Linked DNA regions of Rhinolophus ferrumequinum. The main gene of each other region encodes a partner of the protein of the gene in region 2 in a complex. Links are inferred from orthologs where the notes say so. Each region holds a gene or a part of one and is shown on either strand. Other genes may lie near its edges. The genes, in order: UBA3, UBE2F and DCUN1D3.

What was found.
Region 1: the proteins of UBE2F (region 2) and UBA3 are in contact, whole or in part, in a crystal structure (PDB 3FN1), measured with the Homo sapiens proteins. The link is inferred for Rhinolophus ferrumequinum from reciprocal best matches to the Homo sapiens genes UBE2F and UBA3. Residues at the interface, in NP_001265234.1 of Homo sapiens: Thr27, Arg28, Arg29, Val30, Asp34, Lys35, Val38, Lys39, Val41, Ala42, Glu45, Val54, His55, Phe56, Pro57, Asp58, Pro59, Asn60, Leu62; in NP_003959.3 of Homo sapiens: Ala401, Thr403, Thr405, Leu406, Glu407, Gly408, Asn410, Arg411, Thr412, Ser417, Val418, Thr419, Ser420, Ile421, Arg424, Thr425, Gln442, Glu443, Ala445, Ala447, Asp448, Val449, Thr451, Pro452, Gln453, Thr454, Leu456.
Region 3: the proteins of UBE2F (region 2) and DCUN1D3 are in contact, whole or in part, in a crystal structure (PDB 4GBA), measured with the Homo sapiens proteins. The link is inferred for Rhinolophus ferrumequinum from reciprocal best matches to the Homo sapiens genes UBE2F and DCUN1D3. Residues at the interface, in NP_001265234.1 of Homo sapiens: Leu2, Thr3, Leu4, Lys7, Leu8; in NP_775746.1 of Homo sapiens: Glu108, Glu109, Glu112, Pro122, Thr123, Glu124, Met139, Cys140, Glu194, Ile204, Ala207, Leu208.

The regions. Positions count from the first base shown.
Region 1 is NC_046300.1:62,780,847-62,788,177, reverse strand, and holds the start of UBA3 (NEDD8-activating enzyme E1 catalytic subunit), read left to right. Parts: upstream 1-4,326; 5' UTR 4,327-4,389; coding exon 4,390-4,409; intron 4,410-4,594; coding exon 4,595-4,636; intron 4,637-6,474; coding exon 6,475-6,595; intron 6,596-7,331. UniProt on the Homo sapiens protein: Catalytic subunit of the dimeric UBA3-NAE1 E1 enzyme. E1 activates NEDD8 by first adenylating its C-terminal glycine residue with ATP, thereafter linking this residue to the side chain of the catalytic cysteine, yielding a NEDD8-UBA3 thioester and free AMP.
Region 2 is NC_046291.1:2,437,828-2,445,531, forward strand, and holds the start of UBE2F (NEDD8-conjugating enzyme UBE2F), read right to left. Parts: upstream 3,026-7,704; 5' UTR 2,881-3,025; intron 1-2,880. UniProt on the Homo sapiens protein: Accepts the ubiquitin-like protein NEDD8 from the UBA3-NAE1 E1 complex and catalyzes its covalent attachment to other proteins. Together with the E3 ubiquitin ligase RNF7/RBX2, specifically neddylates cullin-5 (CUL5).
Region 3 is NW_022680357.1:16,190,646-16,197,763, forward strand, and holds the start of DCUN1D3 (DCN1-like protein 3), read right to left. Parts: upstream 3,047-7,118; 5' UTR 1,748-3,046; intron 1-1,747. Other genes in the region: LYRM1 (LYR motif-containing protein 1), read left to right, coding at 4,568-4,726. UniProt on the Homo sapiens protein: Contributes to the neddylation of all cullins by transferring NEDD8 from N-terminally acetylated NEDD8-conjugating E2s enzyme to different cullin C-terminal domain-RBX complexes and may play a role in the cell cycle progression by regulating the SCF ubiquitin E3 ligase complex, after UV damage.

The DNA.
Region 1 (7,331 bases), on a different chromosome or scaffold from region 2:
GGACTTATTTTTTCATATTAAGGGGCTGGTTGATGCAGAAACCTCCTTTTATCTCAAATGCATGAGAAAAAATATTTTAGTTAATTGCATAGTATGGTAGGTAAATTCTAAGATGCTGGTATCTAAGATAACAGTCTTTAAAACCTGCAAGTGGTGCTGTTTTTAAGAAACTGAATTCACTCTGCTCGGATCACCAATTTTCAATAAAAGAGAAAAAAAAAGCAATAAAATATATCTAATGTGAAGTCTAGAAGACATGATTTAATTTTCTCTGATGATTCAGAAAGCAGTTAAAGAACTGAAAGTGACTCTAAGAAAATACTCCTGTCATTGGTGTGAATAAAGTTTAAAATGTGAAAATATTCCTGAGCTCTCACATTTTCTTGATTCTGGAAAAATGAGAAGATTTACTGTCAGGGAGAGCAAAATTAGAGTCCTAGCTACTCTATTTCTTGATGAAATTAAGAAATAATTTGATGAAACTTTGATGAAATTAGTTAATCTACTCCAGCCTCAGTTTCTTCCTGTGTAAAGTGGATATAATAAGATCATCAGCCATATAGTTGAAGAGTGGATGGGGAATGCTTAGTATACAGTAATTGCTCACAGTTAGATATTACTGTTAATGTCATTAATACTAGTACAGCCCATTATTCATCTGATAACATAGTATTAATAGTGCTTTAACCTGATTTGTTTTCCATACTTTCATAATGAACATCTACTGACTTTTCTCTATCTTGTTGCAATTTTTATTGTTGTGGGTATATCTGAGTAGACTTGATAAGGACAGAAAGGTTGAAAATTTTCAGTATTATGGCAACAGGTATTTTGAGTCCTTTCAAGGCTCTGTGAAAACATTGTGAGAGATAAAAAAAAAAGTTGAGAATAATTTAGCTTTGCCCTGACTTCAAGGATCTTGCAGTGAAGTGGAAACACTAACTTAAATACAAAACAGTGAGAGGAATGCTATCTAGAGAGGTGCCAGGCCTTGGTGCTCAGTTACAGGAAGTCAGAGGGTGTGGGAGAATTCCCTGAGCTTTACAAGTTTCATGAAGCCGCACTGTGGGCACGCTGAGTAAATGATCTCGGTCAAGACCAGTGTAGAAGCCCAAGCAGGGCCCCTTCTTGTTGGTGAGATCAGTGAACATTAGGAACTGTGATCATGAACTTTTACCTTCCAATTACTCAGTACTGCATGACCATAAGCTGTCAAGCGTGTGTTACTAATAATATGATTACTCATTGATCACAGGCAATGGACATCCAATAAACATTTGTTCAGTGTATTTTTAATTTTTGTTTAAACCTCTATAGAAGTTTAAAAATAAAGAAAGAAATGAAGAAAAACAAAAACAGATATACTAGTATAGAGCATGATCCTCTTTTCCCTAATTCTCAAAATATTAACTATGCTTCCCTCTCTGGTTGGATTATGGGACTTTTTTTCACTGTACATTTCTACCTTTGTCATGTGGGGGAGGAGAAAATTCCTCCTCCTTCTCATTCTTTTAGAGCTTCTGGCTGGTCTAATAATCAAATTGACATGAGACAGATAACCAGGAGAAAACAACCAAATTTAATTACCTATGTACATACAGGGGTTCCGGCCCATATTCTTATGGAGGCATATATGCTATATTGAGTTAAGGAGAAGCGGGGGTTAGTGGTTTGGGACTTCAACAGGGAAGAAGGCAATTCACATGGAGATGGAAACACAAATGTTTAGTAAACAAATGTTTGCTGGGCCACCGTTAACAAAGGTACACAGAGAAGACTGATCAAATGGGTCTTGCTAGGTTCTTCTTTTGTCTATCACACACTAGTTCATATTCAACTATAGTTATCTGGGGCGGATGGGTGGCTCAGTTGGTTACAGAGTGAGCTCTGGGCAACAGGGCTGCCGGTTCGATTCCCACATGGGCCAGCAAGCTGCTCCCTCCACAACTAGAATGAAGTCAACGAGCTGCCGCTGGGCTCCCAGGTGGCCAGATGGCTCAGTTGGTTGGAGCGCATGCTCTTAACCACAAGGTTGCTGGTTCCTACCAAGGGATGGTGGGCTGGGCTCCCTGCAACTAACAACGGTGACTACCTGGAGCTGAGCTGCGCCCTCCACAACTAAGATTGAAAGGACAACAACTTGACTTGGATGGAGCTGATGAGTCCTGGGAAAGACACACTACTGTTCCCCAATTAAAATAAACAAATAAATAAATAAACTAAAAATAAAAAAGTGAAAAATAGACTATAGTTATCTATGATGATAGCTCCCTTCTTGGAGCAGATCCTCTATATTCTATATATCTATATCTATAGAATATATATCTATATTCTTTTGAGGAAGGTCAAAGGGTTTTCCTATCTTCCACTTCTTACAAACAACCAGTTTAAAATAATCACTATCCCAAAGAGGCATATTTTGGGAAACTCTGCTTCCCTTCAGACATAAAATCATTTTAAACAAAAATGAACGCATATGGGATCCTTACTTGATTCAAGCACTGTTTGAAATGCTATTGATAGCAGCTCTTTGTCACTATTCATTTAGGGGGTCAGATTCACTGTAGAGGCTTTCCTGGTGCTCTTATACCTAGACGTGTGCTTCTGGATAGGACCACTCTGAATATTTATCTGTCTGTATGTAAACCAGAGTAGATAGACTAATAGTTTATGTTGTATTCCATTTGAAATGAAATAAATCTGATGCAGGCTTCTCTTGCATGTCTCTGTTACTTTCATTACTGGCAAGTGCAGGTGGCTATTTCTAATCAGTCAGTCTGAGCCAGAGGGTGTGCCTGGTATCATGTATCAAAATACCACTGCAGTGAGTCAGTGTATTAATTCCAAGGCACAAAGATGCAGGACCAGAAGCCTTTGCAGACCTCTTCATGGGCAAGCGACATCCTGTCCATGGGCGTCAGCTTCCTCCCCTGTGAAATGGGGTGTGGGTGTGGGGGTTAGACAAGGTGATCTCTAAGGTGCCTATTAACTTTTACCATCTGAGGAAACTATGATGCTCCCTGCCCCTAACCAAAAGGTCTCCTGAAAGTATTATAGCATTGCTGGGGGCAAGGGTTTAACCTCAATGGTTTCCATCTGCAGAGGAGTCTGGGCGAGAAAAAGAGGTTTCTGGGTTGATATTGAGACATGTGACCTGGATAGAGGCTGGTGTCTCCTGCTATGGGCTGTGGACTCTACCTCCTCACTCCTTGGCACTGACTTTTGGCTCAACGAATGCTATTGAATTGAACCCCATTGGAGGCTAATAAAGGACAAAGAGGAGATTAAATATCATAATTTATTAACGACAGCTATTTACTGCGTACCCATCAGGATTTATATAGTACTGCATTTCATTAGTTCTCAAACTTTATTTTGTACAGAAACAGGGCTTTGCAGAAGGTCGGTGGTGAGGCCTAATTTGTGTTTGTAACAAATTCCCAAATGAAGGTGAATACTATCAGTTTACAAATGAAGACAGTAGTGCTCAAGGTCTCATAGGTAAAAAGTGGAGTTAAAAATTTAAATTCTTTCTGGATTCTACATCTCATTCTTGTCCCACTCCAAAGAAGGATATACATATGTATGTATATCTACATCTGATTATTTTTCTGTATCCGGTCATACACAAACACACATACACACATCTATCAATTTTTGATTCTGGAGGAAAATACCTACTCTAAAATTTTATTGCCATTTATCTTTAGGCAATGAGATCATGGTCTAAATTATTCTTTAACTTTTGTGCTTTTCTTTTCCTTATATTTTTCTTCTAGCTACCTAAATATAAAACTTTTTCTCAGAAAAAAAGTTCTTTCAATTTAGTTTCATTTCCACTGAGTTTCTTACCTGACAGAATGATGTGACACTTAACGTTAATATTCGTATTAACAAAGAAAGAAAATATCTTTATCCCACCCCTATAAACTGATCTAGAAAAATTTTACTCTTAAAATGAGTGCCGTTATGCAAACATGTTGGAACCGTTCTCAGAAGTAGAAAGTGAAAATTCCCCTGATGCTTTGCCTCAGATGGAAGCTCTGGCATATTAGGGTGGCTCTTCCAGGAGTTTTTTCATAGAACATACCATTTTACATAATTATTAACATATAAATTGAATAAACATAATGTATTACATATAGATTTTCACGCAGCCTAAAAATATACACTGGATAAGATTTCTCTAATTGAGCGTAGTTAATTAAGATTATAATTACAGCGAAAAGCTTTAAAGCACGCGGAAGCATCAGCAAAGGCAGCCCGGCTCTGCAGACTCCGCCCCGCCCCGCCGGCCCCGCCCCGCCCCGCCCTGTCAGGCCCGCCGGCCCCGCCCCTAAGCCTGGTCCTGCCCGCCGTGGGGGCACCTGGGAAGAGGCGGGGAACAATATGGCGGATGGCGAGGAGCCGTAAGTATCCGGGCTCTGCAGGCGCGGCGGGCCGGGCTGGGTTGTGAGAGAGCGTGGCGGTGGGCGGTCGCCGCCTCCACCCGGGGTCCCCCCATCCCCCCGCCCCGTCCCCTCGCCCCCCATCCTCTCGCGGCGCCCATGTGTAGCGTGATGCTGACCCTTCTTTTATTCTCTCTTTCTTTTAGGGAGAAGAAAAGAAGGAGAATAGAGGAGCTGCTGGCTGAGAAGTTAGTGCTGCCGGGAGGCCGGGGCCCTCTCCGGGGACCCCCGCCTCCCCCCACCCCAGGCCTAGGGGACCAGCCGCAGCGGGCCCGGGGGGCTGGGAGGGGGGCACCCAGTGCGCAGGCCGCGCGGCCTCATCCCCTGACCCGAGTCCTGGAGTCCCAGGGGCCAGGCCGGCCAGTCCTGGTTTCTCTCCGGAGGGCGCCAGGCCCCGAGTGCACCGCCGCAGGTCCAGCACGGGCCCGCCGGCTGCTTGACCTAAAGGTCTAGCGGAAGGACCCTAGCGCTCCCGTCTTCCTCCATCCCAAATTGTCAGAGATGTGACCTTGTGAAAGGGGAACCTTAAACACACGAAACGGACCTTAGGCCGTTTTTGGCCTTTCGTAAACACTGAGACAATAGTATTAATTGCAGACTTTCTTTGAGAACTCTGCATGGTACAGTACTAAGCACGTCAATCATTTTTGCAGAATAATTGACTCCTGAAGGAGAGCGTTGACTCCACAGAGCTTATTTTGCCCATTTATTACACACTCTATTTTTTATCAGATGCTTAGTTTTGTGCGGTGAGATACATTTAACAGTGTTTTCCAACGTGGCCAACCCACATTTTTGCTCCTGCCAACATGGGAGGGGAAGAAAGTACTCTTGCAGTGGGTGTGGTGAGTTAGTAATTTCTGTGCCAAATCCCATTAGCAGTGCACCAGAGTGTGTACAGGTATCTCTCTCAGAAAGTTCAATTTCAATTGCTAGGGGACTGGAGTGACAAGCTTAATTTCACATTCCTTCCCACCCTTCATTTCCTTTCCACTTTTGCTTAAAATAACAAAGTTCGAATGCTTATTGTATGCCAAGTATTATACTGAGGCCTCTGTATAGGTTATCTCTTTACCCTTCTGACCTTAAGTAACTAGAAAATCTACAGATGAGGTTTATGGCTGTTAAGTAATCTGCTCAAGGTCGCAATGCTATTGTGGAACCAAACCCAGCCATGACATCAAAACTTATGGTCATTGTTGCTAGACAATACTTCTTGGTACCTTTTGTTAAAATTAGATATTAATAATGTATTTGAAGGTCGAAATTATGGGATTACATGAAATTTGAAAATTAAAAATAATTACAACCAAACATGAATTTTGCACTGAGTAGGAAATACATGTATTTTGTTAGAAGAGTCCCATCATATTCAGCTGTATGTTCTAAAAGGTTTCTAGATGATAATGCCTATCTGTGGTATAATCTAGCCTAAAACTTGCTGTGTTCAGGGGCAACAAAAACCATCTCATAGTATTAAGAGATTCTTTTTATGAAATTTTGAAAATAGGGACCTCTGTTTCAGAGAAGAAAATGTATAAAAATTCTCATCAAAGTTATTTTTAAATCACACCTTTCAAACTTGGATATGAATCCTAGATTTGAAACATCACAATTCTGAAAGTGGAGTTATGTATTTATTTATTTTTTTTGTAACTGATATTTCCTGATCTAAGTGTGTTGAAGAAACAGATTGGGGAAGTTTGCAGTGACCTTTTGTAAGTTCCAAATGTAGAAAAACCCATTTCTTCTTGATTAGACAATATCCCAAGTTTGATTTGGCTTGCTTTAGGAACCCAGAAACATATAGACTGATTTATTTCATCAAACACATGCAGTTAACTTTAAATAAACTATAAAGTAAAGAAAAAAATTAAAAGCATAAGCACAATCACATTAAATATTTCCCTTTTTATTTGAGCAGGTCTGGTGTGATTACCTTTTCATTTGGGGAAACCATAATAGTTGTTTAAGTGTGGCTTTTTCATACTGACCTTTGCAGCTGAATTTACTGTGTTCTGTGCAGAATGGCTGTTGATGGTGGGTGTGGGGACACTGGAGACTGGGAAGGTCGCTGGAACCATGTAAAGAAGTTCCTCGAGCGATCTGGACCCTTCACACACCCTGATTTCGAACCGAGCACTGAAGTGAGAAACGTTTATTTTTAAATAACTCCTCTAATAGTTTTGTGTTTCAAAAATAGCAAAATGCTTTCTTTTTCATTTGCTCTTATAACAAAATACTCATACAGTTATATAAGTTATCTTGAAATACTAAATGCAATATTTGCAACTGATTTTATCTGAATGATTAATATTTGAGTCACTTTCACATTTCTCATGTAATATGTTGAAATTCTTCAAGTAAAATAACTTTATAATCTCGTTTAGAATTCTATATTATAGTTCATTTTAAATTCGTTTAAATGACTTCTGAGACACACCCGTTTTTAGCCTTGCTATGAGAAATTAATTTTCATAGGAATATAGATGCACTTGTTTAAATTTTGAAATATAGTTGAAATGAGCATCTTTACTTAGGATTGAATATAACTAATTGCATGTTACAAATTATGTGACTGCTGTATAATGAATAGAATTTTGGACTGATAGTGTCTGACTCAAAGCAAATGTTCAATTAGATAAAACTTGTTTTTTATTACAAGGTAGAAAAGAGTATTCTTTACAGTAAAGTTTTATATCCTTTTGTGTTTATAAAGAGATACTGTTTTGAAATCGATATATTATGCTTGCTCCTTAAATTAAGGTGCCAACTCTTGGGTTTGACACACTCTCATCTGAATAATTTTTCTTTAATCTTGGACAGAATTAACAGTATTCTGTCTTTTTTCGGATCTCGTATTTTCTTGTCCTTTGATTTTTT
Region 2 (7,704 bases):
GTGAGTGTGGTGCCAGTTTCAGGGGTATGTACGTCTGTCAAGACGCCTAAATCATACACTTAAAACGGTGTACTTCAATTATACCTCAAGAAAGTTGACAGAATGTGAAAACCCAACCCACAATGGTTTTTTCATTCCCCCTCTACTACGCCATCTTCTCAGGTGGACCTACACGAAGCAGGGACCACAACCAACCAACACCCACCTTCTCAGCTTTACCCAGGGCTGGGAGCTCCGGTGGTTTATGAAGTAACTCACAAAGGGGCGGGGCCGGGCCTGGCATGAGGAACACCCGTGGGGGCTCCACCCGGAGCTGCCGGAGACACAGCTCCCTGGCCCAGCCCACCCCAATGATGCTGTCAGGAACTGGATCACAAAGCAGTGTCTGCGCCCAGCCAAGTCCATTGTCACCAACCCAGACTTGAACACCTCATCAGGGTCACCGGATGACCGCCCAGATACACGTCCATTCCTTGGGGGTTGGCTGGAAGCACAGATGCACCACACAAAGTCCACTTGGTTTTTATCCTCTAGCTGACTTTGGCAATGAAATGTGGCAAAAAATAAAAGCACGGCATGTGTAAAGAGAGTTCAGCAGACAGTACCCTAGGAAGGTCACAATGAAGAGACCCATGGAAAACTGAGGGCCCGGGCACATGCCTGGTCCACACCCAGCTCCGAAGACCTGCACAGAAGGGGCCGCTCAGAAGGTCCTGGCAAGACTCACACTCATGAAGAAAGGCTCACACACACACACACTTCTGTGTCACTGAAGTCGGAGGACTCCTCTTTGTTCTTTTATAGTCCCCACTAGCCCACAGTGAATGAATTCTTCTGTGGGCAGAGTGTGTCCCATACTCAGTTCCACCAGTCAGGGTCCTGGCTTACGCTCTCCAACAAGGCTGTGGCCCTTGATACAACATGCTGGCCACTGATGTGCAAGGTATGAAAGAAAATAGCACAGGTGTTTTGTTTTCCATAGAAGGTAATACAAAACGTACTCTCCCAGCATTCTGAGAAGTATAGGTATATCATGACCATCTATTTCTCCATCATCTGTATCAGTATCATATCCTTTATCCCACTTCAGGGATAACAGGCCTAATTTGGGGATGTGTCCAGAGCTGTTAAATTAACTCTATATAAAGAGATTTGAATAAAAATAATTACTCAAACTGCCAAGAGGTTTGCTGAACAGATGCAGCTGCTTCAGAATTCCTCCCTCAGTATGCTTCACCCCTTGAAGACTTGCCCCTTTATTGCAAAGACACTCTGACTAAGGCAGTATTTTCGGTAACAGATCAGTTATGTGGAACAGCATGCCGAGTCTCTCAAGTCCACAGGTCCTAATTGGCCCATTTAAGTCCCTCCTCTACGTGGGGCAGTTCAAAGACGATTCTTAGGTACTATTTAGTAGTTTCATCATCAAGTAATATTTACTCAGCACTCCTGCCCGCAGTGGCAAAATCAGGCCATGTCACCTGTACAGGGACACGGGAGCCAGTCAGCTCACGGGGTGGGGATGCCCGGGAAATCCCTGTTTACAATTCTTCCTGCTGTGAAAAAGTCCCAAACTAAGTGTAAAAGATGGAACTGCAGGTCACTAGTGGACAAGCCAGTTCTCCTGCCAGAGGCCCAGATCCGAACATAAAAAAAGTCCACACCTCACCCTCCTCCCGCAGAAAAGCCAGGCCAGGGCCCAGAACCTCCCATCTGGCCCAGGAGTCACCCGGTTGGCTGACCGACCTTTGGAGCCCAACCCTTTTATTTTCAGCCCTAAACCTGCCCCCTCCTGCACAGCCCACTACCTGAATGGCAGGTATGTCTAAGTGGGGGTCAAGCCCCACACCACGTAGCCTGGTGGTAATTTGTGAATACGCCTCCTGTTTGTACCCTCCCCCATCTTCATCCCCTCACCCAGCCAGAAATCCTCTGCACAAGGCAGGCAGCCTCTTCCCTGTTACTCAACAACACTGCTCATTTCTGGAAGCTTCCGTTCAACGTGATACCCAGGTCCGGAACGCCCTCCTTCCCTTCACCACCTAGTCCTACTCCTTCCACAGAGAGAACAGATTCCTATCTAGATTCTACTCCTCCAAGAAGCCTTCTCCAATCCATCCAGACCCACTCCGGAGCGCGAGGGACGCAGAGAGGGGAGGGCCCAATCCCCTTCGGTAACAGACGAGGAAACTGAGCCCTACTGAAGGGAGGGCCACGCCCAAGCTCACACGGCGGCGGAACCAGGTCCAGAATCCCACTTCCCGCTGTACTGATCCTTCCAAGATGTCCTCCCCTCTGCTCTGCCCCGGGTACTGGCTTCCAAACCAGCCGCGGCCGCCCCCAATTGCGAGGCCGCTGCAGGCAAGCTGGCAAGGAAGGAGCCTCGCTCCTCCCGACCCTCGCCACTCCCTGGCCTCGCCCGACTTCCACCGCAGTCAGCAGTCGGACTGCCGGCGTCCGAGTCCCGCTTCCTCCGGCCACGCCGGGCTGGTGACCTTGGGCCAGCGCTCGGCCCTCCGTCTCCTTCTGGACAATGCGGCCGGCGGCATCTCCGCGACGGCGGGCGCGAGCGAGGCCGTGTGTGCGCCCCTCACAAGTCGGTGCTCGGTGCGGGCGGCCCCTCGAGCCCAGCCAGCGCCCCGGCCCCGGCCCCGGCCCCGGCCCCGGCCCCGGCCCTTTCCATTCACGCCGCCCGGCCCCGCACCCCGCGGTCCGCGTCCTGCGCGCCCGCCCGGCGCCCGGCCGTGAGGAGCGGCGCGGCCTGAAGCAGCCCCGGCGCCGCCCGCCCTTCGGCCCACCCGGTGCACCCGCGCCGCGGGAGCCGAGCCGCCTGGAGGCCTGCGCCTCCCCTCGCCAGCCGCGGGGCCGCGCGCTCCTCACCTGGGCACCCCGAGACAGGCGAGGCGGGCCCGGCGCCCAACACCATGCCCGGCCGGCCGGCGGCGGCGAGACGCGGGCCCACACAGCCGCACCGGCTCCGGGCGGCGGGACCGGAAGTGGAGGGGCGGGGACTCGGCCGCGGCCGCGAAGGCAGCGGGCACTTTAAAAAAAAAATTCAAAACCCTGAAGAACTTTATTTGGAGCATGATGTGCGAACAGCGGTGTGCGCTGAGTGGGGCTGGGCCTCGCTCATTGGCAGAAGTCTCGGTCGGGGGCGGGGGCGAGTCTCGCGGCCCCGGCTGATTGGCCAGCGGCTGCCAGGGGCGGGGCCGCCCAGGGCGTTCCCGAGCCTGCGCATTCCCAGCGCCTCCCTGCTCTACGCCGCGTTCCTGCCTCCATTCATTTGGTTGTGGGCTGGATCCCGGCCTGCGGCGCAGAGGAGCCCGGCGCAGGGCCGGAACTGACCGCCTGGGTGGATGTCCCCGCTGTGTGCCCAGCACAGCGCCCAGGACGCAGAGGACCCGGCCGACCCCACAACCTGCAGTGTCGGGGGTAAGGGGGGCGGGACAGTCAGAAGTGCAAACAGCCAACAACACTCGGTGTGAAGCTGAGGCTGCAAAGGAGTGGGTGGGCCCTTTTCTGTTCTTGTCTTAATGGTTTATATTACGTCTTTCATCTTACAGTTTTGTAAACTACTTTAAAAATTTGTTGCAAATTGTTCTGTTTATGGCTTGTTGAGTACAAATTCTTCTCACGTCCATTTGTGCCCCTGTGTGATGGGTAATAGGCACGGTCGCGGGTGTCAGGCAAGGATCCTGGAGGAGTGGGCCATCTGGACCCGGAAGAAAGAGCCGAGGAGTTAGAATTTTATTTCCAGAAGCCCCATGGAAAGGTTTTAAACAGTAGAGTGACAATGTCAAGTTTTCTTTCTAAAAGAGGCTTCTGGCTCTGAGTGAGCTGATGGGAGGGGAGCCAGGCAGCGTGGAGACCAGAGTCAGGAAGACCAATGAATAACATATGTCATGGTATTCCTTCTGTTAGGGAACAGTTTCCTTCTTCACCCAGCTAACTCCTGTCTCCCTAAGCGTGGAGATGTGGTACAGTCAGCTACCTGTGCCTCACTGCCTTTTCCTGCAGCTGCACATCTGTGATTCTACCCCCTTCAGATCAGGCAGCCAGAGTTTACAAAGCCCTGGATGAATATCACACAGAAGAGAAGCAGCCATAGTAAGTCAATGCCCCATATATACAGGAAGCATTCCCTGGGCATGGTTGTTGACAGCTGCAGGGGCAGCCTGGGATGTGGGCATTCAGGAGGCCTCACTCAAGGGCGACGTGAGTGCTGTCAGCCCAGGGCTCCTCGTGGCACAGTCACAAGGATTCAGGGTGCTACACTCACTCTTGTGCTGAGGCACTGCTGCCTGTGTTTTATATTTTGTGTGTATGACCGATAGTTTTGATTGCTCTAGGTATCTGACATTGTCCACTTTGGTGAGTGCTGTGGGCAAAATGCCACAAAACACTGTTTTCCTTTTTTTTTTTTTTGAAGGAAAATTCTTTTTTTTTTTTTTTAAGATTTTATTGGGGAAGGAGAACAGGACTTTATTGGGGAACCGTGTGTACTTCCAGGACTTTTTTCCAAGTCAAGTTGTTGTCCTTTCAATCTTAGTTGTGGAGGGTGCCATTCAGGTTCAAGTTGTTGTCCTTTCAGTCTTAGGTGTGGAGGGCGCAGCTCAGCTCCAGGTCCAGTTGCCGTTAGCTAGTTGCAGGGTGCGCAGCCCACCATCCCTTGTGGGAGTCGAACCGGCAACCTTGTGGTTGAGAGCCCACTGGCCCATGTGGGAATCGAACCAGCAGCCTTCGGAGTTAGGAGCACGGAGCTCCAACCGCCTAAGCCATCTGGCCAGGTCCCTGTTTTCCACTTTTAAAAAGCCAGGGTTGAAAATGTCTATACATTAGTGTGTATGTGAACATTGGGTGAACAAGACGGGAACGGGAACAGAAGTGGCAAACAGCTCATGTTCTGAGCAGCTGGAACAGTCCAGGATGGAGGTTGTGCTCTGCATCTGGGACTGCAACCTCAGGACCACACTGGGCTCACCCAAAGCAGTCACTTGGCATGTCAAGGCAGTGCCGGGTAGAACCTCTCCCCCTACAGCCACAGCTCTCCCTGGAGACTGGGGTGAAGAACCATCGTTCCGGTGACTCCTTGCCAAACCCTCATGATTAAAGTCCTATGCCGGGACTCTGGGGACAGCAGTGCTATTTGTGAAGAGGCGCCACCATGCAGAGACGACCTGGACCACTGCTTGCTCTGCTGACATTAGGTGACCCCACACAACCCCGTGGGAGGGAAGTAAAAGTCCTAAAGGCCTTTGGGTCTTTGACCCCGTAATTTCATTCACGGGTTGGCTTGAGGAAGTAATCTAAAAGTGGAAGAGGCCGAGGCACAAAAATACCCATCGTGTTACAGAACTTGGAAGCAATCTTGTGCTCAGTATTCGGGGAATGGTGAACTAAATTACCACCGCTCATTTACTTACAGGAAGATTACCCAGCCAATAAGCTTGGTCATTATGCAGATTATGTAAAACCACAAACATACTATTTAGGTTAAGTGAAACAAGCAACATTCGGATCGTGTAAATTCAATGACTACAATTCTGAAGAAGACCAATATATGGGCAGAGACGAGGAAAATGAACAAAAATTAATAATTTTTGTGTCTGGTAGGATTAAGAGTGAATTTTCCTCTTTTAAAAAAAACTTTCATTTATTTTCTTTATATTATCTTCATAACAATACAATACAAGGGTCTTTTTTAAACATGATTGATCCTTAACTTGGAACACAGGTCTGTGTCAAATAAGTGATTTTAATGCTGTTATTCGCTAGAGAAATAAATATAGAGAAGCTTAAGGCTTCCCTGGACAGATCATTTAAAAAACTGGTAATCCAAATCATGCTTAGAAAGCCTTTCTAAATTCCAAGAAAACAAAGTTGTTTTGAAATAAATGGTGACTATTATATTTTAGGTCACATCCACATGGCAGTAGAGCTGCCCTCCCCCCCCATTCAGATTCATTTGCTGAAGTTCTGAACCTACGTTTTCTATAGGAAAATACAATCTGCCTCATGGCAGTCCCCGGACACATACCTCAGGGAAAAGCAAACACTACCCACATCTGAGGCCTGGAGAATGGCTGTTGGGAGCACTGGCACCGGTTATGATGGAGAGGCCATGTGTGGTAAGGCAAAGATTCAAAAATACCTACACTCACCATTATTACTCAATATTCTGGAAGTTCTGGCTAACACAGTAAGGCACACACCGGAAATAGAAGATGATTATTAGAAAGGACAAGGCAATATGACTATTACATAATGAAACTATGTGACCCACTCCCTAGAATATCCAAGAGGCAACTAAAAACTGTAAAAGGGAATCAGAAAGATGAACAAAGTGACTCAACTAAAAAAAAAAATCAATAGGTATATTTTCCATACCAACAGCAACAGATTAGAAGTGATCAGAAAACCCATTTTACAATAGGGGGTGGGAAAGAATGATAAGTGAAATAGTTAAATAATCTTACTGGCAAATAGGTGTAATCTGGACTGTGAGAATTAATAAAGGAAACCAACTAAAATTGGAGTTGGAGACGCCTGTAGAGGCAGCTGTCACACCTTACCACCTCATCCATTACCCCAAACATGAAAAGACCAGACCTTGGCATCTCCAACAGGAAGGTGTATTATCCACTTTACTACCCCTGGAGGAAGAAGGAAGATTTTCTTCTGGACCAGCAAGAAGCCCAGCCAATGGAAAAACCACAGCTCAGCCAATGAGAACCCTTCATCACCTGAACTCTTTCCTCCAATGAACTTTGATGTTTCTTTTGCTAATGACGTCCTTGCCCCAGGCTCCTTTATATAGAAGTTTTCCATTTCGTATAATTCCTTGGAGTATCTCTCTGTTTGCTAGATGAGATGCTGCCCGATTTATAAGTCACTTAATAAAGCCTATTAGACCTTTAAATTTACTGAGTTGAATTTTGTGTTTTTTAGCAGGATAAAGAAAATTACAAACTTTATGTCTGTCAAAATGTACATGGCAGGGTGGCCGGATGACTCAGTTAGTTAGAGTGCAAGCTCTTAACAACAAGGTTGCCAGTTCGATTCCCACATGGGCCAGTGTCGTGCGAGGGACCCTGCTCGCTGCGCCATTTGTCGTGCAGGAGACCCTGCTCGCTGTGCCATTTGTCCTGCGGGGTCTCAGCTCCCGCTCCCCACATAAGAATGCAGGGTATGGCTAGGCCAAAAAGGAACACCCACGGAGCCATAGATAGGGGAGTCATACCACTATAGTCTCAATGGAGCAGGATCCACACAACACGCAACCTGCTGTCCGCTTCTCTGCCTGCCAACCAACCGACCAAGAAACACAGCCACGGCAGTTATATCAGTGGCTAATTGGTTAACTGGTTACAGCTGATGGCCAACTACTACCCGAGCCAGCACCTTTCCTCGTAAGGCCAAGAGCCTGGAAACTGCTCTCTGGGACTCTGTCCCCACAGCCATTGAGCTGCTCCCTCCACAACTAGATTGAAGACAATGAGCTGCCACTGAGCTGCGGAGGGGGCGGCTGGATGACTCAGGTGGTTATCGAGCTCTTAACTACAAGGTTGCTGGTTCAATTCCCGCATGGGATGGAGGGCTGCGCCCCCTGCAACCAAAGACTGAAAACGGCGACTGGACTTAGAGCTGAGCTGCGCCCTCCACAACTACATTGAAGGACAACGACTTGGAGCTGATGGGCCCTGA
Region 3 (7,118 bases), on a different chromosome or scaffold from region 2:
GCCTAACCTCCTCATAAGCTCTCACTACAAGGAGGTTGGCTCCCACCTCACAGCCTTTGTTCCTGCTGACCCCTCTTCCGATACCACCTCACCGACCTCTTAACTCTCCTTTCTAGCATTCAGCACTGGCTCGAATGTCACTGACTACCCACAATCAAATAACCGCTCCCTCTGCTCATATATACTGACTGGTTCATTCCGAGAGCACATATATCTACCAGAAATTGTTCTTCTTGTGTGTCGTCTGCCTCTGCCACGAGCATATAAACTTTAGGAGGCAGGGACCATGGCTGCTTGGTTATCACTTTCCCCAGAACTGCCTGTGCCCAGCCTCTGGGGTGAACTGACTAAATAAATGCTGACTGCATGAATGGATGGATGGATGGATAGGTGTTTGGGAGGGAAGTGTCCATGTAAGAAACGTCCAAACCTGTAGAAATTTTATGTAAGACATTGAGGGTAATTTCTGGGGAGCAAGATAAATGGAGAGGGACAGTTTTGCAGTTTTCTTTCATGCATTTGGAATTAAGGAGGGAACAAAGGAAGATGACGGAGGTGGGAGAAACCGAGGCAGGGATTGGGAGAAAGCAAGGCGGGGACTGGGAGAAAGCAAGGCAGGGACTGGGAGAAAGCAAGGCGGGGACTGGGAGAAAGCAAGGCGGGGACTGGGAGAAAGCAAGGCGGGGACTGGACTACAGGGTAGTTAACAAGATCAGGTGCTCTCTTGAGGGTGGTCCCACTTATGTCAAAGGTGTGTTGCACAAAACGAGATGCACAGAAACAATGGACAGGGCTGCTTACGGCAAAGATAAGCCTCTCACTAAAGAAGTTACAGGCCTGGGGGGTGACTCCCCACCCTGACCTGCCCGGCTGGGAGTTGATGCTCGGGTCTCCCTGGGAGGTTACTGGCCACGGGACCCCTTTTTGGTCCCAGCTGGAGTCTGGCCTGCAGGCTGGCAGCCCTGTAATGAGGCCTGCTGTCCCTTCTGTGATGTCAGCTCCCTTTGGAGTGTTGGGGACAGGTTGCTGTGGGGAGGGAAGGGCAGAGCAGCCCCCCAAATGCACAGCCTCCTTTGAAGGGGCTGCTGGTGTGCAATGAATGATGGAAGGAGGGCAACAGCGGCACTCGTTGAGCACCAGTGCCAAGAAGTCAGCAGTAAATAAGGTGCGTGTGGTTCCTGTCCACAAGGTGCGAGGCTCGGGGAAGACGGACACTAACAACCCATTACTTGCGTGGTCAAGTGCTACAAGAAATACAAGGGCCGCGGAAGGGCTCAACTGAGAGACCTGACTTGATGCACGTGGTGAGGGCAGCAGGGAGCGGGAAAGGCTTTTCTGAGACCTCCATGTTTTCATTGGTAACTGAAGGCTGCAAGGGAGCCAAGAGAGCCTTCTAGAAAGAGGGAACAGATGGGATGTACCCCTACGGTAAGAGAACATGATTCCTTCTCTCTGAGACCTGAAGGATTCCAATAAGAAAAGAACAAAAGCATCTTTTTCCTGGCTTTGCGCAGAGTTGGGAAGAAGTGTGGTTGGCTAGGCCTGTTAGTAGTACATCATGGGAACAGAGCTTCAGACCCCCTCCCCCTGGAAATCTTCAGGATTTAGGTTTTCTGGGTCACCTGATGTTGGAGAGGGAGACATCACTTATCTCCCTTTCAGGATTACTTCTCCAAACATGTAAACGTTAATTAAAGTGTTTTGAAAATAGGCCTATTAAGTACCAATTGTTAGTTCTGCTTGTTACCTTGAGTGCCCTAATTACAGGGCTTGTGTATCCGATTATGGTATATGATCAGCTACAATCTGAAGCGGAGGTTCTAAGAGTAGAAGGAAACCAATTAAAGTCCGACTTTGCAGAAGGTTGCTGCTGTTTTCACAGGCCAGACCTCCTTCACTCCTCACCAGTGCCATGCAGTCCGGGCAGTTTCGTCTGTTAATGACAGAGAAGTGAGGCAATCGTTAATACAAGTTAGTTACAGACTCCCTGCCCCTCACAGGAACTGACTCACGTATTTTCAGATGAAACCATGGAATTCTAGAGAGAGCCAGAAACTCAGAAACCTGTTTCCTTACCAGGAAAATGTCATCATCTCATGTGGGTTTTTATTAACGATGAACCACAAAACATGCGGTTGTCTTGGTTTTTATGAATTCCTTTTAAGCATTTTCTCTGAAGCATCCTGGCCATCAGAATTGGTGTTGGAGGTTAAGCTTAGTCCTGTCGACTTTTGAACTGGGGGAACTAGTGCTTTCAAGCTTATCATCAAATGGTTAAGCCTTGGTTCATTCCTTATTGCTCAAGAAAAGTCACCAGGGTCAGGAGAAGTAGGAGGGACAGTCATATTCGAAAGAGGAATTCTCTGTCAGGCAGTTTCCTTGCAGCAACTTAGAATTTCTATTAGGTCAGTGCAAAAGTAATTGCGGTTCGTGCAATTATTTTTAATCTTTTAAACCGCAATTACTTTTGCACCAACCTAACAGATAAACACACCTCCTTACAGCTCCCATCTGTATTCTTTAGCTGCTCGAATTCTCAGGAACTCAGGACAAAATCTCCTGAAGCGTACAGTCTCCATGTGTTGGCCCTCCCGCTCGGGTTGGAAATGGGTCGCGCTCCCAAAGGGCAGTGAGCACCTACCTCCAGATCCTGAGGAGCCTGTTTGAGGAAAACCCAGGATTCCCGGGGAGGGTCCCCATGCCTGGCCCGGCCCTGCTGCTCACTCACTGCATGTGCCCGGGTCCTCCCGGCCTGCCCATCTGTTAAAGGCAGTACAGGATTCGTTCTCCTAAATCTGACCAATCAGAATCCTCCCGTAGTGGGGCTTTTTCACTTTCCGGGATTTCTTGTAGAAGTAAGTAGTAAAGAAACAGGCTAACGTTGTTGCGTAAGTAAAAGAAAAGGGAAACCCCTAATGTCCATCAGCAGAAGAATACATGAGATACCTTCAGACAGTGTGGGCTGAATTGCAGTAGTGAGAACCCATGAACTGGAGCTGTGTGTAACCACATGGATGAACCTTACCGTGTTTCCCCGAAAATAAGACCTAGCCAGACCATCAGCTCTAATGCATCTTTTGGAGCAAAAATTAATATAATCTGCCCTGGTCCGGGAGGACCCGGTATTTATATTATATTATATTATATTATATTATATTATATTATACCTGGTCTTATATTAAAATAAGACCCGGTCTTATATTAATTTTTGTTTCAAAAGACGCCTTAGAGCTGATAGTCCAGCTAGGTCTTATTTTTGGGGAAACAGTACAAATATGGGCAAAAAGAAGTTGCAGAAAGGCAATACCTTTTATAAAGTTCTTTTAAAGTTGCTAAGCAATACTATATAATGTGAAATGTAAAGACGTGTGAGAAAGATATATTCAGGATAGCAGTTCCTTCTAGGAGAGAGGAAGAGGAATTCGATTTGGAAAAGGTACAGTGGGGGTTTCAACTGTATATATAATTTATTCCCTAAGGTCCATTGTGAATGTATGGCTGTTAATTATTCTCTATATCTTTTTGTGTATCTGAGGTATTTCATAATGAAAATAAAAATAACAGGAATTTAATTTATAAAAATACAGTTAGCTTTATGGAACATACTTCGGTCAGGAACTTGGCCAAGTCCTCTGAAATGAAAGCTGATGTTTCAGCGTGCAAACCCAGAGGGGCCACAGATCTTCAGCCATCACAAAGACTTCCAGTTATACTTACTACACAGTTCTCATGTGCACAAGGCAGTGAACTGACAGTTTTGCAAAATATTTTCAACGAGGCTATGCTGAACTAAGAGGCTGCAACCTGACGCCCTCTGGGAGGACCTTAGCCTGCAGACACATTTTCTTTGGGCTTCATCGTACTCACATTTTCAAAAATGAATTTGTGTCTTTTTTGAGATTTTATATTTTAAAAATCTGGACTGCCACCTATTGTGAAGCTATCATGAAATCTGGCACCCTTAGGCCCTCACTTCTACATGGCAGCGGCTGGCGGGGGCTGAGTAGCGACTGTCCCCTTTTAAGGGGGCATGTCCTCTCCAGTTGGCCAGTGTCCCCACCCAGTCAAATTCCCTCATTTTGTTACCTGCCAGACCCTGGAGGAACGTGAGTTTGCAACCTGCATTAATTTCAAGTTCTCACTTAACTAGAAAATTCAGTTATTCAACACATGCCTTTTCCTAGACACTCAGGTTAGGGATATAATTTTACCAGAATACACACGAAAAGCATCCTTCCTAAGAATTTACCGGTTCAAAGAACAGTACATGTGTGCTTTGGTTTTGTTTTGCCATGTTTGTAAAAGTGGCCATCATGGCAAACAGTACAGTGGAGCAGCTCAACCGTGAGGTGATACACGAGGCCGCCAAGGGATAGCTGGTATTCGTACACGGCCATGCGGCAATGCTGCCAAACGGATTTGCTGAGAAGGCAGTTATCTGTGCCTTCTAATTAAAGAGCTTGATTTAAAAAAAAAAAAAAAAAAAAAAGGTGCATCTGGCTAGCTGCCTATTGTCACGGTGAATTTTTATGCACATTTTCCCTCTTCTATTTTGGTGGGTCTGAAGATGACAACAGCAACGCGACAGGAAGTTCTTGGCCTCTACCGCCGAATTTTCAGGCTTGCGAGGAAATGGCAGGCGTCGTCAGGACAGATGGAAGACACCATTAAAGAAAAAGAGTACATATTAAATGAAGCCAGAACACTGTTCCAGAAAAACAAAAATGTAAGTAGGCCTCAGCTGGAGAGCGAGAGGAGAGCAGTGTCTTGCATTTGTTCATTTCTTGTCTGTCCCAAATGGAGAGGACGGAGCAGCGTGAGTCACAGTGGCAGAGTCTGGGCAGGAAGGGAAGGAGCCGGAGGCCCAGCTGATGGGAAGCAGAGCCCGGCCCAGGGCTCTCTCTTCACTCATTTCAGGTCTTGGTCCAGCCAGCAAGTGGCTGTGTCCCCAGGAGACCCCACGAGCCAGGTGACAGGAGTGAGGCCAGTGAGAGTTGCCAGGGGAGGCGCAGTTCGTCACATGATGTGCTGTCGCCGGACACTGCCACAGGAGGTGCGCAGGTCAATTTTGGTTTTCAATTTATAAACTATTCAAAGCCTCCAAGTCCAAACCCATTCAGAGGGAAGAGATTAGGATGAAGACACAGGCCTGCCTCATACTTAGCTGTGAACTGCAGCCTCTTTGGCTAGCACAGTGCGTCTGCCCTTTGGGACCAGAGAATTGGGTAAACTAGTGCTCCCATGAACTGGTTTAATGGAACTGCACACCCAGACACCAGGGAGCCAAACACCATTTCTGAGAGGCTCGGTGTGACTCATCCCGGTAAACCATCAAGCATTAGCTGTCAGCTCTTTGGAAGCCTGCCTGGCAACTCGCACGGAAAGAGGCTTTCAGCCCCTGGCTTTCCTTGCCCCCTTCTCATTGATCTCATGGATTCAATGCTGTCACTGTTCCCCTCGTGAAACTTCCTGACAATCCACTCTCTCTACTTTTTCCTCTCTGACCCGTCTCTGTCTCCTTTTTGGCCCTGTCTTCTCTCCACACCCTCCTGCCAGCTGTGGGGTCCTCTGAGGGTCAACCCTCTGCGCCGAGGCCCCAGGGGCAGACAGCCACCTTCTGGCTCCAGCTCCCAAATCGGGACACCCAGCCTTGGCTTTTCACCAGCCGTCTGAGGACCCCGTACCCCAAGACAGAGCTCGTCTTCCCACAAGAAGGCGTCCCCTTCCCAACTTGCCTATTTCTGTCACCATGCCTGCCACTGCTCTGCAATGCTCTGCTCTCATTGTTTCACTCCACAGGTATCTGAGCGCCCACCGTACGCCCAACACCTTGGGAATATAAAATGAGCAAAAGCAGCACGGTCCCTCAAAGGTATTTCAGAGTTAGATGGAAAGAAACGTAAAATTAGAGTTGGGATAAGTGCTACAAAAGACCCCCACCCTCGCAACCCGAACCCCAGCACCTCTGCCTTCTTGGGATCCCTGAAGGCTCCCCGCTGTACGAGGGCCACCCTGCTTGGGAAGCGGCTCTGACTCTCCCCCAGACAGGCCATACCTGCGTGCAGGGACCTTACACAGCCCTCGGAGGACTGGAAATAGGTCCTGCAAGTGCGGTTTCTGTTTCTATTGCATCCTTTAAAAATGTCTGTTTTGTCTATATTTATAATGACATTAGTACACTTACTGAACGTATACGTACAAATCAATATAAATACATATATGGATCTGTGGCCTGAGAAATATTTATTGAAAGGAGTAGGTGATCAAAAAGTTTGCAGACCACTGACCTATACCTACCCCTGAGGAGCTGGTCATACTTTTTCCTTGTCTGTTTCATGTATGTCGTGTGGTCTCCCCGACCCGCCTGTCAGTTCCTCAGGCTCAGACAATGTCTTATTTGATAGCGTATCCCTTGGGTCCTGCCTTGTGGTTGTCATAAATGACCGAGCATTGGATTCAATTGACCTTCTCCAGGAAGCCTCCCACGCTGCTCTGTCCTCACCTGATCCCGTCGTGAGCCCTGTCCTGAACTCCTGTGGAGCAGCCTGCAGCAGTGCCTGCGCTTGTGGATTTTATACCACTGGGCCCTTTCTGTAGCTTCATGTGTCAGTTGTTCTGCCAGGTAATAAGGCAGGGACGGTGGCCTCACAATGGCCAGCGTCCTGCTGGGGATGTCACAGGAGGACGTGCCCACCCGAGGACTGCTCACGACGCCCTGGGGTTTTCTTATGGCTCATCATTCCTTCCTTGGCCTCTGCTCGCCTTGGCTCAGTGTGCTGCGAGCCAGGAGGAGGCGTGTGTGCTGCTGATGGTACATGAGTGAGATAGTGGGGGCTACATGACCTTTAGTTGGAAGTTCTGTGCTTTGTTTACCGTGTGTTAGAAAGAAAAGAGTATCCGGCAATTTCCCAAATACTATGCTCACAAGAGAGTCCATTTAAAGAAAACGTTGAATGTTAATATAGGTGGTATGTAGATGTGGCAAAACCATGCAGGCAGCCTCTGAATGACTGGACTTGGGAGAACTGTACCCCACACTTGTTCAGGGGGACAGCTGGAGCCCCAGGAGCCCTCAGCGCCTTAAGCATAGCTTATCGGGGCTTCTTTCTCCCTGCTCC